Styela clava: one gene and its partner. The protein of the gene in region 2 interacts with the protein of the main gene of each other region in a pairwise test. Links are inferred from orthologs where the notes say so. Each region holds a gene or a part of one and is shown on either strand. Other genes may lie near its edges.

Region 1 (7,255 bases), on a different chromosome or scaffold from region 2:
ATTCACCTGCAGTTGTCACACTCGAAGAGTCCGAAACAACTCTCCCTTCTGATGGAGTCTGTGGTCGACAGTCTTGGTGTTCTATTTCTTGACGACGAAGTTTATATAGAAATAATTGGTTTATTTTTTATTCATGAAGCCTCTGCAGCAAGTTTCATATTATTTATCATAAATGTAGTAAATATGTTTTAAGTTTTAGTTTAGATTTTCTTTTACTCGTGCACTGCATGCCACAATAGTTTATCATGAGTGTGAGAATTTTATTTTTTATCTTCTGCTGTCTGATTTCTGTAAATTTTGTTATCATTTTAGTATCGCATGAAAAGCTTGGTACACGATCATGATGTTTTGGTAATCACTGTAAGAGCTGAAAAGTTAAATAAGGCTGATAATAACAAGTCTAGCAGTAGCCAAAACCTCTTTTTCAGTTATCCAAACTAGTCGTTTCCTTGCTCCTCAATCATGAGGCCAAAACACATTTATGCAACAAGGCTAGTTCCACCTTTTATCGAATTACTATATGCAAAACCATAACCATTATTAGACTAATCAATTCGAATCTAAAGACCCTAGTCTCTCTGTATGCGAATTTGGTTGGTGCTTCATGTGTTTTATTTCAGTTTTAAAAATTGTGCATTGTGACAATCTTTTGTAATACTGTTCAATACAAAAATTCTGCATGAAAATGTGTATGTCATTGTTAACGTTGGCAGAACATAAAACGATATATTGATCCCTGACATAGGCACATGCATCCCATAAAGATGAGATGAATTTTTATGTTATCCAGGAGGGTGAATGCCCATTTTTCCGTATTCCAGACTCTCTGTCCAACTCCATCCACTGTTGACTAGAAATGTCAAGAAGGCTGTCGAGAAACTTATATTAGTTCACAGAAGCATACTGTTCTGTCAATTTCTCAGTCTTGTCAAGGTTACGCATATGATCTAGTGCAGTTGTTAGAAAAGCCCTAACTGTATTTATTTCCATCTGTGACAAATTATCCAGCTTGGCATAAGTAGCTTTCAGTTTTACAAATTTATCTATGCTGCTTCTTAACTTAGCAACTCTTATATCCAAAATGTCTTTAATAATAGTCCTTATACCATCAGCGTGGGGTATATTATCAGTTGCTTGATTTAGTAAAATATGGGAAATTTCCTGGAAGTAAGGACTAGGTAGAGGAGTAAAGAGTTCGCTATTGCTTTCATCTTCCTTCATTGTTTCCAATGTGGCAAGTTCCATCCAAGTAGGGCGTTGAATCTGACATTCATTTCTCTGTTTCAAATTAATTGCCAACCAAATTGGAACTTCTGTAGGAACACCGACATTAAATGGTCCAACTTCACCCGATATCAAAAACATTTTGTCAGAATTGAACTTGGGAATGATTGATACATGTTCTCTTTCAGCAAGAAATTCAATATCCACATGATCCATGATTAAGATGCTGTTGAATTACAATAATCAAGAGAGTTAATCATCCGGGAATGGCTGATTTTAGATGAGAGATTGGGGAGAATTAACAATGATAATTGATCAGAATATTCTAAACATAATTAGAATAGATGCAATTATAAAACTTAATCGAAATAATGGGGGATAAAACTTTCGATGATTTTGGCAGATGATTGTGTGTGGCATAACTCATAAGGTGATTCACATACATAAGTTACAGCTACCTACATCCCCATTATATATGAAATAGATTGCTACTCCAAGAGATGAAAAAGACAGAGGCGAAACTGTGGCTGGCTATATGATTCTGCTGTCTCAATCCATCGTCACAGTATGCTATTAAAAAATACTATTTGCAGCTTTTGAGATGATCACTTTTGATCACATTATAGTTTTTAATTGCAAATTGTTCTCATGAGTAGTTATTACCTGTTTGTGGTACTAATGTATAATGATATTGGTTGGGTTACAGTAAACTTACTTTTCATTTGATGTAAATGAAAAACAAGAGAAACAGCAACGCCACAATTTCATATTCGGATAAAATTGAGTCAGTAATTCATACTTGTGGTGACCTCAAAATTTTATTAAATTAATGGGTATGCTATTAATTATTAATCTGATATTGGTATCTGTTTAGTAAAATTCTCTATATAGCTGTATAGTGTACTTCGGATTATTTTGCTTATAGTTTTCTGCTCTTTTTTGATTTATTATTATGACTAAAAAATCTCTCTCTTCAGTGTGACGTTGCAGGGGCCAGGCCCTCAAGTAGAAACTGCTTTTTGTACAGCTGTAAGCAGATCAATGCAGCAGTTTATGAAAAGATTTTTAACTAGGCATATCTGCATCCTCCAGTACCGGTACGGTAAACTATTTCGGCAGATCTCAATCAAATCAAATTTTACGGTATCTCCGTATAGCCTACAGGTATAGGATTTTTGACCAATGGTACAATTTACAGGATTTCAATGCCACTGTTTTATATTTCTGTACCGGTATTTATCACACGTTAGAGTTCGTGAAATCAAATTGTACCATAGTTTGCAAAGTAAAACTTCTCTCCTTCCTGATTCCTGCTCCCGCCCTGGCCAAGACAGACAGATACTATTTATAGATGTTGTTTTGTCTAACAAACTCCTTTGTACAAACAGTTTTGTACACTCCACCCATATCCCTGTTACCGCATCCACCCACCCTCCTCGCACAACTGCCTGTATAAAGGACCATATTGTACATATTTGATTTACCCTATTATAATTTATATAAATCAAAGGGGTGTATGCCGCACATCTGTGTTTTAGGCCAATATGGTCTTGTGCATACATCCCGTCTTCAGTATTTATAAGTACTTACTCTTTTATATTGCTTTTACGAGACGAATAAACATCCATACATACATACTGAGATACCGGCACAGGTTTGTCCCTAACCACTCGTAAAATATCCTGAAAATCCCGCGTCGCAACCATTGAGGTATGAACTGTTTTCATCCATTCCAATCCATACTGACAATAAACAAATTTTACTTTTTTCGCCGCCAGATAGCAGCACAGAACAACATTTTTGTTGTGAAAACAACAAAGCTCGGTGAAAAAAACCCAACAACATGGCCATTCAGCTCTCGCCACACTCAGATGATGTTTGCCTGTCGCTCTGCCAGCTTTTTTAGGGGGGGGGGGGCGTCCCTTACGGTTTCCCTCGAATTTACATTGAGATTGGAGAAAAGGACAATAACAGTATTAGTTATATAAGTAGTGTAGATTTTATTGCAATTATTCTTTTGTTATCAATAGTTCGATATAAAATTTGGATTATGCAGTATTATTCAGTTATTGGATTCAGTATTTGAAAATAAAACACCTGATATTAAATTGCAGAATTTATGTGAAGCAATTAGATGTACAATACATTGTAGACTATAATACATTTGCTAAGTTTTTTTTTTTTTCTTTTTTATTGTATTATATCATTAGAATTATTATTTATTTTCTCATTTTCAACAAATGGATTATGAACTCAAAATGGAGTATGGACTTATTTTATTTTGTACATTTATTTATTTTTTGCATATTCATTAAAATCACTCATTGAGTGAGCCAATTAAAAAAACAGTATTATGATTAGAGAGATTATTGTTAAATTGAGCAAGCATTACAGGTACAGTACCGTACCATACCAATCACAAATCAAGAACGTATGACCCATGTCTAAATGTAGCTGTGGGTTAGTTAACATACAGATATCTGGATATATAGCTCTTAGTTTATTTTGTTTGTCAGTTTGTGATATTTCTATACTACGGTAGTCTACTGCTACGGTTTATGATATCTATATACAGTATGGCACAGTTCTTCGATTTCCAAGAATAGCCCTCACAATATGAGACATCAATTATAATAGCGAAAACTACTTTACGTCTGGGACACCATATCGCTACAAATCAACTGCGCAATAAACTCAAGGAAAGCAACATTTAAAAATGACACTCTTGGATTCCTCGGAAAATATAATTTGATTTACAGAAGAAAAAGAATTTTATCACAGCATTCAATAGGTTTTGTCAAAATTTGGTCACATGAAGGCCGACACACGTCGCGATTGATTTAAATTATTATCAGGAGAAGCATCTACGCAATTTGCGACGTACCAAACACCATCGTTTCAAAGACAAATACAGTGTTCGTTTTATGGAACCAAATGTCGGGATATCTTGGAATAGGAGCACTGTGCTCTACTGATATATTGTTTCATGGTTTTGTTCACATAGTCTTCAAGATTATTCACTTTTATCCCTTTTGTGTATTGCCGTATCACTTGTCTGTATATTTATGCAGTAATCATTAATTAAAACATTTAAACACCTCACTTATAGTTTGTAGAGTGTCTTGGATTCTTGGAAGTTAATTAGATAGGCGAGCATGTTAATAATGTAGGTAGCCAATTAATAGCCAATTAATTTATTTGAACTCATTTCACTTTAAGTTATAATTTCTAGTTTAGTTGGTACAGTTGAGTAGTGCTTTTTGAATTCGTAGTTGTCTCTCGCGAATGAAATTTTTTGTAATATTTCATACATTAAAGTAATATTTGATACATTAAATTATTGATTTTGGAAATATTTAGGAAAGTTTTAAATATATGTTAATAAATATATGATTCAAAGCAAAGTAGGGAATAGTTCTTCAATTTCAAGAAAACAAATACTCTATATGTCTTGAAAGCGAGTGCATCTGATGCACCAGATCACGCCATGCATGTTTCGATGATAATTTAAATCAATTGTGACGTGCCTTTTCAGTTTTGGTAAAAATATTTTCATTCTGTAAATCAGAATATTTCATCAGAGGAATCCAATTTTATGTTGCGGTTTGCTGATTTGTGCCAATATGAAACCCCAGACTGCCTCCTAAAGAAGGATTTCGCACTCACTGTCAAAATTGATGTCTTTTACTGTAGGGGATATTCTTGGAATTTGAGAACTGTGCCGTACAGTAACATATTCAGAAAAAGGCAACTATTGCTTGAACATAATTGGAATACTATATGAGGTGTCATATTGATATCATTTATGTCTCTTATATTCTGAGTTCAAAAGTTCATATTCAGTAAAGAATATCAAAATCTGGATTAGTTCAATTTTTTTTATACTTTTATTTTCTATCTACAGCCTGTGATTAAGTATGTAGATAGAATGACCTAATAAATCTTAAAAGACTTTTGAAGGATGGTGTAACATAAATTTTAACATTTCAAAAATTTCTACCAATTACTCTTGCTTCCTATAATGGATACTACGGACTCAGCAAACAACAATTTTACATCAAACACCACAGGAAATGGACATCCACGAAGTAGATTGGAAATGATGAGGAAACAATTTGTAAGCAAACAGGCAGGACGTACCAGTCAACCTCACCATAGTGCTAGACCGGTGAGAAAATGTGCTTGTATTTTGCACAAATATGGCACTTTAATTTTCCATTTTCTAGGTTTGCACATAGAAAGCTCTCACTGAAACCATTAGGCCTACTACATTATAGATTGGAAAAAATCTTCACATTGGGTAGGTGAAAATCTAGTGTTACTAAGAGGATTACCATTGGAAGTGAAGGATTAGTTCTTGACTATGAATGGACTTATCACTTGTCTGTCTCTGTCATGCTAATGACGTCCGTATGGCCGTACAATTTATTGTGATTTGATTTGGTATCTAAAATTGTTTCTTCATGAAATAGGTTGGATTTTTGAAAAATTTGATACAAATAATCCATTCACTATAAATAAAGTACCGTAATTATTTTGAATATAAATATACTTAATAAGGGATAAACATATCATTGTTTTTAACTATTATGCTTCCCAGTATATGGTTTTCTTATCCCAGGAGGAAATAGTTCTAGATCGTAATTTTGCAATTTGGTAAAATTATTTTCTGTTTGAACCACTCCAAATTGTGCTTAGTAAGAATCAACTTGGGGCTCTGATACAAACCTGTGTACCCCTTTACCTCCATGATCTATGTGTTTGAGATTTTTTCATATAATTCTTGCTCATATTGAATATAAACTGAATTACATACTACTTATTAGAAGATTCTATTTATAAATAGTTTTTCCATAAATAGAAATTTAATTTGAACAATTTAGTGTTGAGTTGATCAATCTTTTCCGGTATTAAAAGGATTCGAAAAGGCGAGCAAATTTATTTGAACATAATATATATCTTTTGAGATTGACATCCATTTTATTGTTTATCTTGTCATTTCAATCTTATTTTTAGTGGACCAAAACCCAGGGATAATCACTGGTAGTATAATTCTTATAAATTACGGCTGAAGATATGAATATGGATATCTAATAAACCATATTTGTCTGTCTACTTTAGACCTTTAAATTTTTTTTTTTTTTTTGTAAACCTTATTGGAAATATTCCTTAATTCTTGTGTTAATTGATTCAGTTTTCTAAGTTTTATTATTTATTTAGAAAACTGGCATTCCAGTACAAAGTTCCAGCAGTCCAGAGAAGAAACATCACCCACCGAGACATATTGCTCCTCCATCAGCAAGAAATTTATTGAACAGCGTGATTGGTAAAGAAATGAGATCTGGGAACTCTAGACGCCAGGGTGCGTTGATTTATTGTGTTTATCAACCTATTGGGCCTACCTGTCATTTGACTCTATTGAAGAACCATGTAAACAACTCTCTCTGATTTGAAAAATATTATTCAATAAAGTGCGAGACAGGCATCTACTAGACACAATTTCCACACCATGATTAACTAAAACAATTTTCATGTTCCGTTTTGCAGCAAGAGCTGTAATAAAATCATACTGTAAACAATCAGGCATTATTTTCTTTATTTTCAACCACAAATGAAGCATTTAACATTGATAAAATAGTAGACCATATCATTGAGATTCTCACGAATCGCCAATTTTCTTCATAGCATTTATTTAACACTTCAGTTGATCTACTATTATAATGTCTAGGATGCTGAAAGAGCACTAACATCTTATTTTGCCATGTTGTATTGAATTTATTTTAATAATGTAGGCTCCCAAAAATATGCACTGTCAACAATTATTAATAATAAAATTGTTAATATTGTCGGCACCAAAAAATTATAAAAAGTCCACTTTTGCAATTTATATTATTTTGTAGAGCATAACTCATCAGACAATACTGGAACAAGTGTGGCAGAATCAAATAATGATGCCAAGGCTGCAGAAAAAGATCAAGATGAAAACGCTTCTGTTCCTCCCACATTGCGGTTAGAACAGCACATTGAGGAA
Region 2 (7,533 bases):
GAATCTACATGATAAAATAAAGTTAGATAGTTGCTGATCGTAAAGAGCAGTGGCGATCGCGCACAAGGGGCGTAGACAATTTTTTAGATTGCGTTTAGCTAATTAAAAATATAAATATTTGTTATATTGATCTCGCCTGCCTTATTTTAGATATTTACTTTCCTTTTACGTATTTTCAACATGTATTTTTGAATAAAGTATACTTTCGTTTAACTATCCGTTATTTATACAGCAAGTTATTTTTGAGGTGGGGCGCGAAACTTGACAAATTCTAAAAAGGTTCGCGGCTTAAACGTTAGCGGCTTAGACGTTCCAGGCAATCTGTCTGCTTGCCTTTTGTTAACTATATATATACCTGGTAATATGTTTTATGTATTTGCCTGTGAAACATCTGCCAATCACATGTGATGTTATTTGACATCAAAGTATCTTGCAAAGTTATGCCGATTCGGCGATACGAGAGAAACAGACCAGGCAAGGACAGCAGTTAACGGATGTACAACAGCGTGTTTTTATCACTTTTATTTCACCATTTCTTCTTCACCATACTATATTGCCATGCGGTTGGGCATAAATGTAAATAAATTAACAGTTACCTTATTAATCCTTGATCGCCTCTCTTCAACTAAACTTCCATGAGTCTTCGAGTCAGGAATTTGGAAACAATCATCGCTTTAATACTATGTTAATACTATGTTCCCAAAATTTTACCTATCAAAAACGAAACGAACTAGTTTCTGATCGGTTGAAAATAAACCTTCTTTCCGAGAAAGTAATAAATAAAGATAGAAAATTTATTCACAAAACAGAGTAATTCCAAAAGCCTTTAAATAACCCAACTCAACCCAAAATAGCACAGACAGAAAAGAAGAAAAAAAAGAGAGAGAAGGTAGGAAATATAGTGGGCAACCCGCAACTATCCCATTCGAGAATTCCCAATAGAACCTTCTGATTAAATATTGCTTTATATCGGAGTCCAGATTCTAGAAGTCTAATATAAAGTCGTCGACGGGACTATCGGATAAGTTCGCAGATAGAAGACCATTCATAGCAGCAACACAACTTTTACGTTACAGAATCAACAATTGTAGCTTAAACCTAGGTTTATCTGCATTAGTATAACTGAAAGATATGGAAAAAGAGAACGCTACTTTGGCCCACGTAAATTCTTAAAATGACAAAAAAATGTTTGGATATAAACAACAAAAGAAGTGACAAGAGAAGTAATTTAAAAAAAAAATTGGGCAAATAATATCACCTGTACTATATCCGGAACATCCCAACACAACCGCATCTCTGTTGAGTTTTTAATTCATCAATTATGTAGAATGTAGATCTCATTTATGAAATGGTCCAAACATCATTGCACAGGCATATCTTCCCAGGGGTCTTTGATTCAACCCAAGTATACTCTCAATTCAATCTAGTGCTATATTATGGCCTTGTTATAACTGTAATCCATAATTTAATGAATATTTATTTAACCGTAGCTTTTGTTCCGCTCAAGCAGTTTCAGATGTCAACATTCGCAGCATGTTTACGTTCAGTCAGTTTGTATAAACACTGAAATATGTAACATGGTTAAGATGCACTATATAGGTTGAATAAAAGCTAACATAAGCTAATAGTAAGATGAGGGCAATTCGTATATATGGAATATATCCAAAGTGTAAATTTGAATACGATTTCAGGTTTCTTACTTGTTCTAACTTGGGACATTTCATTGATCTCGATCGCCTCCATTTGTTTACGTCGTCGTCTTTGATTCAATAATTACACACTAGGTATCATTTAGTATTACGCTATGGGCTAACTAACTGAAAGAATGAAATTATCTCTAATAATCATTGCTGATTTAGATTATCTCACCAATTTCAGAACTTGTAATCTCAATTCCACTTTGTAGACATTTGGATCAATAACTGTAGGCCAAAGCTTAGTTTAATTGCATTAGTACAGCTATGAAAAATGGCTGAAGATACAAGCGTTGGATTATGAAAAAATTAGCGTATTATGAAAAAGTATGCACATAAACGATTGATCCTAAAAATTCACAAACATGAAATCAATGCTCACCTGACAGCGTCAACTTTGAAAAGACCGCCTGAGCGCAGAAAATTTTTGACGTGGCAAGAAAAAAGTGTGATTATAATAAAGAAACAAAGAGGGTGGAGGAGACCGCAAAATGATGATGCTTTTTCATTCGTTATCAGGAATCACCCCTTTTAACACTATATAGGGCACTCATCAGATCAATTTTGATGTATGGCATTGAAGCATACCATTTTACTTCGCCATATATTTTACAGAAGTTGCAAAAAATACAAAATACGTGTCTACGTATTTGCGGTGGCTCTATGAAGAGCACTCCAATAATATCACTTCAAGAGTCTTGTAACGAAATGCCGCTCCATATACAACATCTTAACTGTTGCCTTGCATACAAATGCTTGCTCCTTTCTCACAAGGATCATCCTAATGAATCACTCATTAAGCAGTCTTGGCATGAGTACTATCCAGACTCTGATTCTTTTGTAACCTTTAATATGCTCTCGACCTCTCGAATTTTTTCTAACATAGTTGTCAACAACACTAAATTTTTTCCCATTCCACCCTGGAATATGCCTCCGCCTGAAGTGGATACAGTTTTATCAACTATGTCTGTTACATACAACAATCCTACTGTTTTTGTGTTACAATGTTTGGAGTATATTGAAATGGAATATCCAGGTTACCTGGAGATCTATACTGACGGTTCAAAATCTGAAACTCGCTGTGGTTCTGCTTTTTTTATTCCAGAATACGAATTTTCGAATAAATTCCGCCTCGATCCATTATCTACTTCCTACTGTACGGAATTATATGCCATATATCGAAGTTTGATATGGATATCGCAAAATAGGCCTTCAAAAGTATTAATATTGTGCGATTGTCTTTCTGCCTTGGAAAGCATTCAGGATATTTGGAATGTTAAACATTTTTTATCAACAAAAATACAACTACTTTATACTATTATTTGTCACACGACCGATATCAAGTTTCTGTGGATACCAGCACATATTGGTATTAGCGGTAATGAGGCAGTGGATCGACTGGCGAAAGACGGAGCAAATAAAATTGTCATTAATGCTGTTCTTCAACGGTCTTTAAAAGAAGCTAAGACATTGTGCAAGCAAGCATGTCTTGCGAAATGGAATTTAACATATCAAGCAAACGATACTGCAAGCCATTACAAAAACTTTCGACCTCACATAGCCCATTAAATGATTAAGAAGAAATAATATTTTTTCGTCTTCAAACTGGACATATCAGACTTAACTATCATTTATTTAAAATAGGGCTACATCCCACAGGGCAATGTAGTCGATGTGACACAAATGAAACTGTTTCCCATTTTATTTTATATTGTCCCAAGTATAATAATTTACGATGCGAATTAAGACGTGAAGCAGCAAAAATGAATGTACCCTGGGAAATTATTAGTATTTTCAATGTTCCTAATTTGATTCCAATAATTATTAAATTTGCTATATCCACCAAACGAGAGTTGTAAACATGTTTTTATTGTATCATTCTGACTACTCCTTTTGAAATTTGGCGTAAAAGACCGAGTTGTCAAAGACGCCATTAAACCCTTTACCTTACCTTACATGTCTAGGCGACGTAAGAAAATAGCGAAACAACACTGAATAGAGCGCGAAGCGCGCAGTAGAGCGCAGAAGAACGCGAAACAGCGCAGAAGAGAGGGAAAGAGCGCAGAAGAGATGAAAACACTTTTCTTTCATTATTTGTTAGCGTCCGTGAAATTTTAAACAATTTGATGGGAAACAGTATACAGTGGTAGGGAATGATCACGAGTACCGGTATATATCCGTAATCTTCATCATCTTTAAATTGAATTCGCCATCTAGAAATACGGTCGCCACCGCAATTCTGATCACCCTGGTAGTTTCACAGATTCCAATACCATGCGGGGATAGTTATGTGCGATAGGGTTGCAGCTCTCCTCTCACTGAGGGTGGTTCACACGACGGCTGGTCGGTTACGTTACAACATCCCCCACTATCAAGTACATGCATCTGAAACAAATACCTGACTAACTAATCCCATACGGTATAGACTGGACAAGAGGCAATAGTTTACTATATGATTGAGTCGTATTATCGACCTTCCTCCTCCACCGGGATGGTATGGAAATTCAATCCTATCCCAGAAATGTACACTTGGCGCCGCAAGATGAAGCGCGCGAATATTCTAAGGGAATTCCCCAATGCGAGAAATCGGCTTGGTTATCTATCACAGGTTTCGCTCTGCAGATTAGTTCAAAAAAATAAAATAAAATTCACTAGTGTCTTGAGGTTGCTGGATTAAATGTCATCTCAGTAAATAATAGCTTATGCTATTGGTAAATATTGGTAAAACAGTAAAAGGTCAGCTGTTAAGGGACCTCGCGACGTGAGTGTTCGACAATCTCTCCCACATAACTGGTGTATTATTACAGTATTAATACGAGTACGAGTTTAAGATGTGCATATCTTGAGTCTATGAGTATTGTATGTTTAGATACCGGTAGTAGCCTAGTTATTGCTATAATAAAATATGGCCGATGATCTGAATATCAGTGATATATTGGCTCCTAATCAAAGTGATGCTGAGGAAGAACAATTGACAGCCGCAGAAGTATTAAAAAAGTTGGAACAGGTAAATTGGTAAAGGTCATACTGTCATATAAACATTTCTATTAACGCATGTTTAATCAGTTGCTACAAAATGTAAATTACAAATGACATCTCATATTCAAACGACTGTAAGATAATTTTTTAGTTTTTTGCATTTTCAATTTTTTGCAGGCATGGCAGAATGAAAAACTTGCACCGGATTTATTGGAATGTAAATCTGAAATTGTTGAATGCGTGATGGAACTTGTTGCGGAAATGGAAGGAAATTTGAAACAAGCTAAGAAGGGGGATATAAAGGTATGCTGTTTTATCGACATGTCAATTCAGGAAATAATATATTGATGTATTCAGAATTCAGAAGTAAATATGTGCATTTGATAAAGTCAGATGTATTTTTTTTTAATTTTTTTTTTTAAATTATTATTTCAATATACACAAGGGAATTTTATTATAGGATTGTAGACAGATAATTTTTGGATGACATTGGCTTATTGTGCATTAGGGTTTTGAATGAATTTGAATCAACTTCATTACAACAGTAGTTAACCCTTTCCATGCGATTTTTATTTTTTATTAAATAATCGTATTTGCTACGCCGACTTTATGCATTTGTACCCCAACAACTAATCGATCGACTAACGAAAAAGTATTGATCCTCTGCTGCTCACTGACGGCTCGTTGGAAAGCTTATTTAAAGAGCTTGCAATTGGCGATTAAAATTTTTTTTAAAAGGGGTGGTCTGAGTCACAAACCAGATAGAAAAAAGGCATTTTTTTCTTGGGTGTTGAAACTTCAAACCGTGATAAAAAATAGAAATATTCGCTAAATCCTCTACTGTTACCGCTTCTTGGTTGGCAAACAATAGCATAATATTGCTGTAGCAATTTCGTTATCTAACTCAAAATACTTTGGTAGATGGAAGGGATAATATGTCTTCTATTACACCCAAACACCCAAATTTGCATAAATTTCAAAAACACTCCCTCGTTCCGCCGCAAATAAAATTTCCATGGTAAACGAAAGCGAGATTTACCGTCGCCTATGTTAATCTCGAAGACTTATCAATAAACTAAAATCCGGAAAAACTAGACCAACAGTTTGCGACCGATTGCTAAATAAAACAGTGGAGTACATCAACGTACCCGCCGCAATCTAGCGAGTTTTGTCATGGGTACGTATACGTGCCCACCGCACGGAAAGGGTTAATGAATGTTTGTAATATGTTAATGGGCCTATTTCTTTCATTTGTCATTTATTATTGTTAATATTTTAGGTTAGTATTCACAGAATGGAACTGGATCGTATACGTTATGTTCTGAGTAGTTATCTGAGGTGTAGACTCAAGAAGATTGAGATACATGGACCAGTATTTCTTGAAAGAGAAAAAACAAGATCTGAAGATGAACCATCCAGATTATCTCCAGAAGAATTTGCTTTTGCAAAAGAGTGAGTCGTTTAATTCTGAATTATAAATCACTGTTGACCTGATTTTAAGTTGGGATCGTGGAGTCCTTGATATCCATTTTCCATCAATTTTATTTTACCTATGCTCGGGGGTAAGACAGAGTGCTTCATTGGTAAATCTCCACTTGACGAGGTAATGCCATTTCGTGTTATTATAAGCATCTTTATTTTTATGAATGTTTGTCATACATGAATTACGTGTGTATATTCCACACCATTTAGTATAAAAGAGCTGAGGAACCTGGCAAGGTATTGAGCATTGCATTTTTTTTTGAAACATTCCTTCCTCACTACACTTAAGAACTCTGCTATTGTATGTTGTTGGATCATTAGCAAATGATATGCGTAACTTGCAATCTGGATTTTTCAATATTTTGAATGATTGTATGACTAGATATTCCAAAAATGCTAAAAAAGTCATCAATTTCAAAGTAAAATTTCTTTCCAAAAACAATCAAATTTATCTCCAGGTTGGATAAATTGTCGACCTAGTGTGTCAATCCACGTTTTTTGGACTCATTAAACTTCTCTACTTGACTGTACCCGAGTTACTTCAATTGGACATTAAAGTTTATTATGTCCTCCAACCCAATTATATATATACGTAAGGTGTATTGTTGATGTTGCTACCTGCAGCTTTTGTTTTGTTCAGGCTTTCTGCAAATATAGAAACGCATATGAAAACAGTTGCGCTCAATCATATGCCAAGAGTAATGCAGAATGTAGAGCTTTCAACAACAGGTGAGAACACTGTTTGTAGCTACATTTTTGTCGCAGTTCAATTGTGATAGCCAGAAAATTTTAACCAAGTGTGTGTGTGGATATTGTGTAAGAGAGATTTACAATTTCTGTGGTCAATGAGTGGTTTTTAACTTGTGTTATGAGGGTATGACCATACCTGACAGTATATCTCATTACTGGACACATTGTGTATGGGACGATGATTCTAGTTGGTATATTTTTTCAATGGGACTCACAAGCTATTGTTCGATTTGGTAGCTTGTCTGGGAATATGTAGTAGAATGAATTATATATACAATTTTTACAGCCTAATTAACGATTCTTCATCTTCCAAATTTAGTAACACCAAATTTAACCATATAAGCATTTATGGAGTGAAAAGTGAAATTTTACATGCTAACATTTTCTCTGTGGCAGAATAAAATGTACTTGTGCATAGTCTGCTACAGAGCTTGAGGTGTACAAATACCCTTATTAAAAAATTTCTATTTCGTTACAGTTCACGCACCAAACCTCGACCATTATGTATTCCTAAAAGCGATTCGAAAAGAAGATGGTGTTATTGTAGAGGAAGACGCAGATGATCAGACATCAGATAGAGTAGATTTAGATGAAGGATCACAATTTTTAATCAGATATAAACCTATTG

Evidence for each region. The genes of interacting proteins can lie anywhere in the genome.
Region 1: the proteins of DNA replication complex GINS protein SLD5-like (region 2) and DNA replication complex GINS protein PSF2-like interact in a two-hybrid assay, tested with the Drosophila melanogaster proteins (2 studies listed by BioGRID). The link is inferred for Styela clava from reciprocal best matches to the Drosophila melanogaster genes Sld5 and Psf2.

What each region holds. Positions count from the first base shown.
Region 1 is NC_135252.1:9,323,341-9,330,595, forward strand, and holds DNA replication complex GINS protein PSF2-like, read right to left. Parts: upstream 2,957-7,255; 5' UTR 2,952-2,956; coding exon 2,815-2,951; intron 2,775-2,814; exon of another isoform or gene 2,497-2,774; intron 2,087-2,496; exon of another isoform or gene 1,993-2,086; coding exon of another isoform or gene 1,940-1,992; intron 1,451-1,939; coding exon 886-1,450; 3' UTR 590-885; downstream 1-589. Other genes in the region: guanylate kinase-like, read left to right, coding at 1-92; mitogen-activated protein kinase kinase kinase 1-like, read left to right, coding at 5,246-5,392, 6,445-6,586, 7,125-7,255. UniProt on the Drosophila melanogaster protein: The GINS complex plays an essential role in the initiation of DNA replication.
Region 2 is NC_135258.1:9,240,226-9,247,758, reverse strand, and holds the start of DNA replication complex GINS protein SLD5-like, read left to right. Parts: upstream 1-4,507; 5' UTR 4,508-4,599; coding exon 4,600-4,701; intron 4,702-4,850; coding exon 4,851-4,976; intron 4,977-5,952; coding exon 5,953-6,125; intron 6,126-6,795; coding exon 6,796-6,884; intron 6,885-7,383; coding exon 7,384-7,533.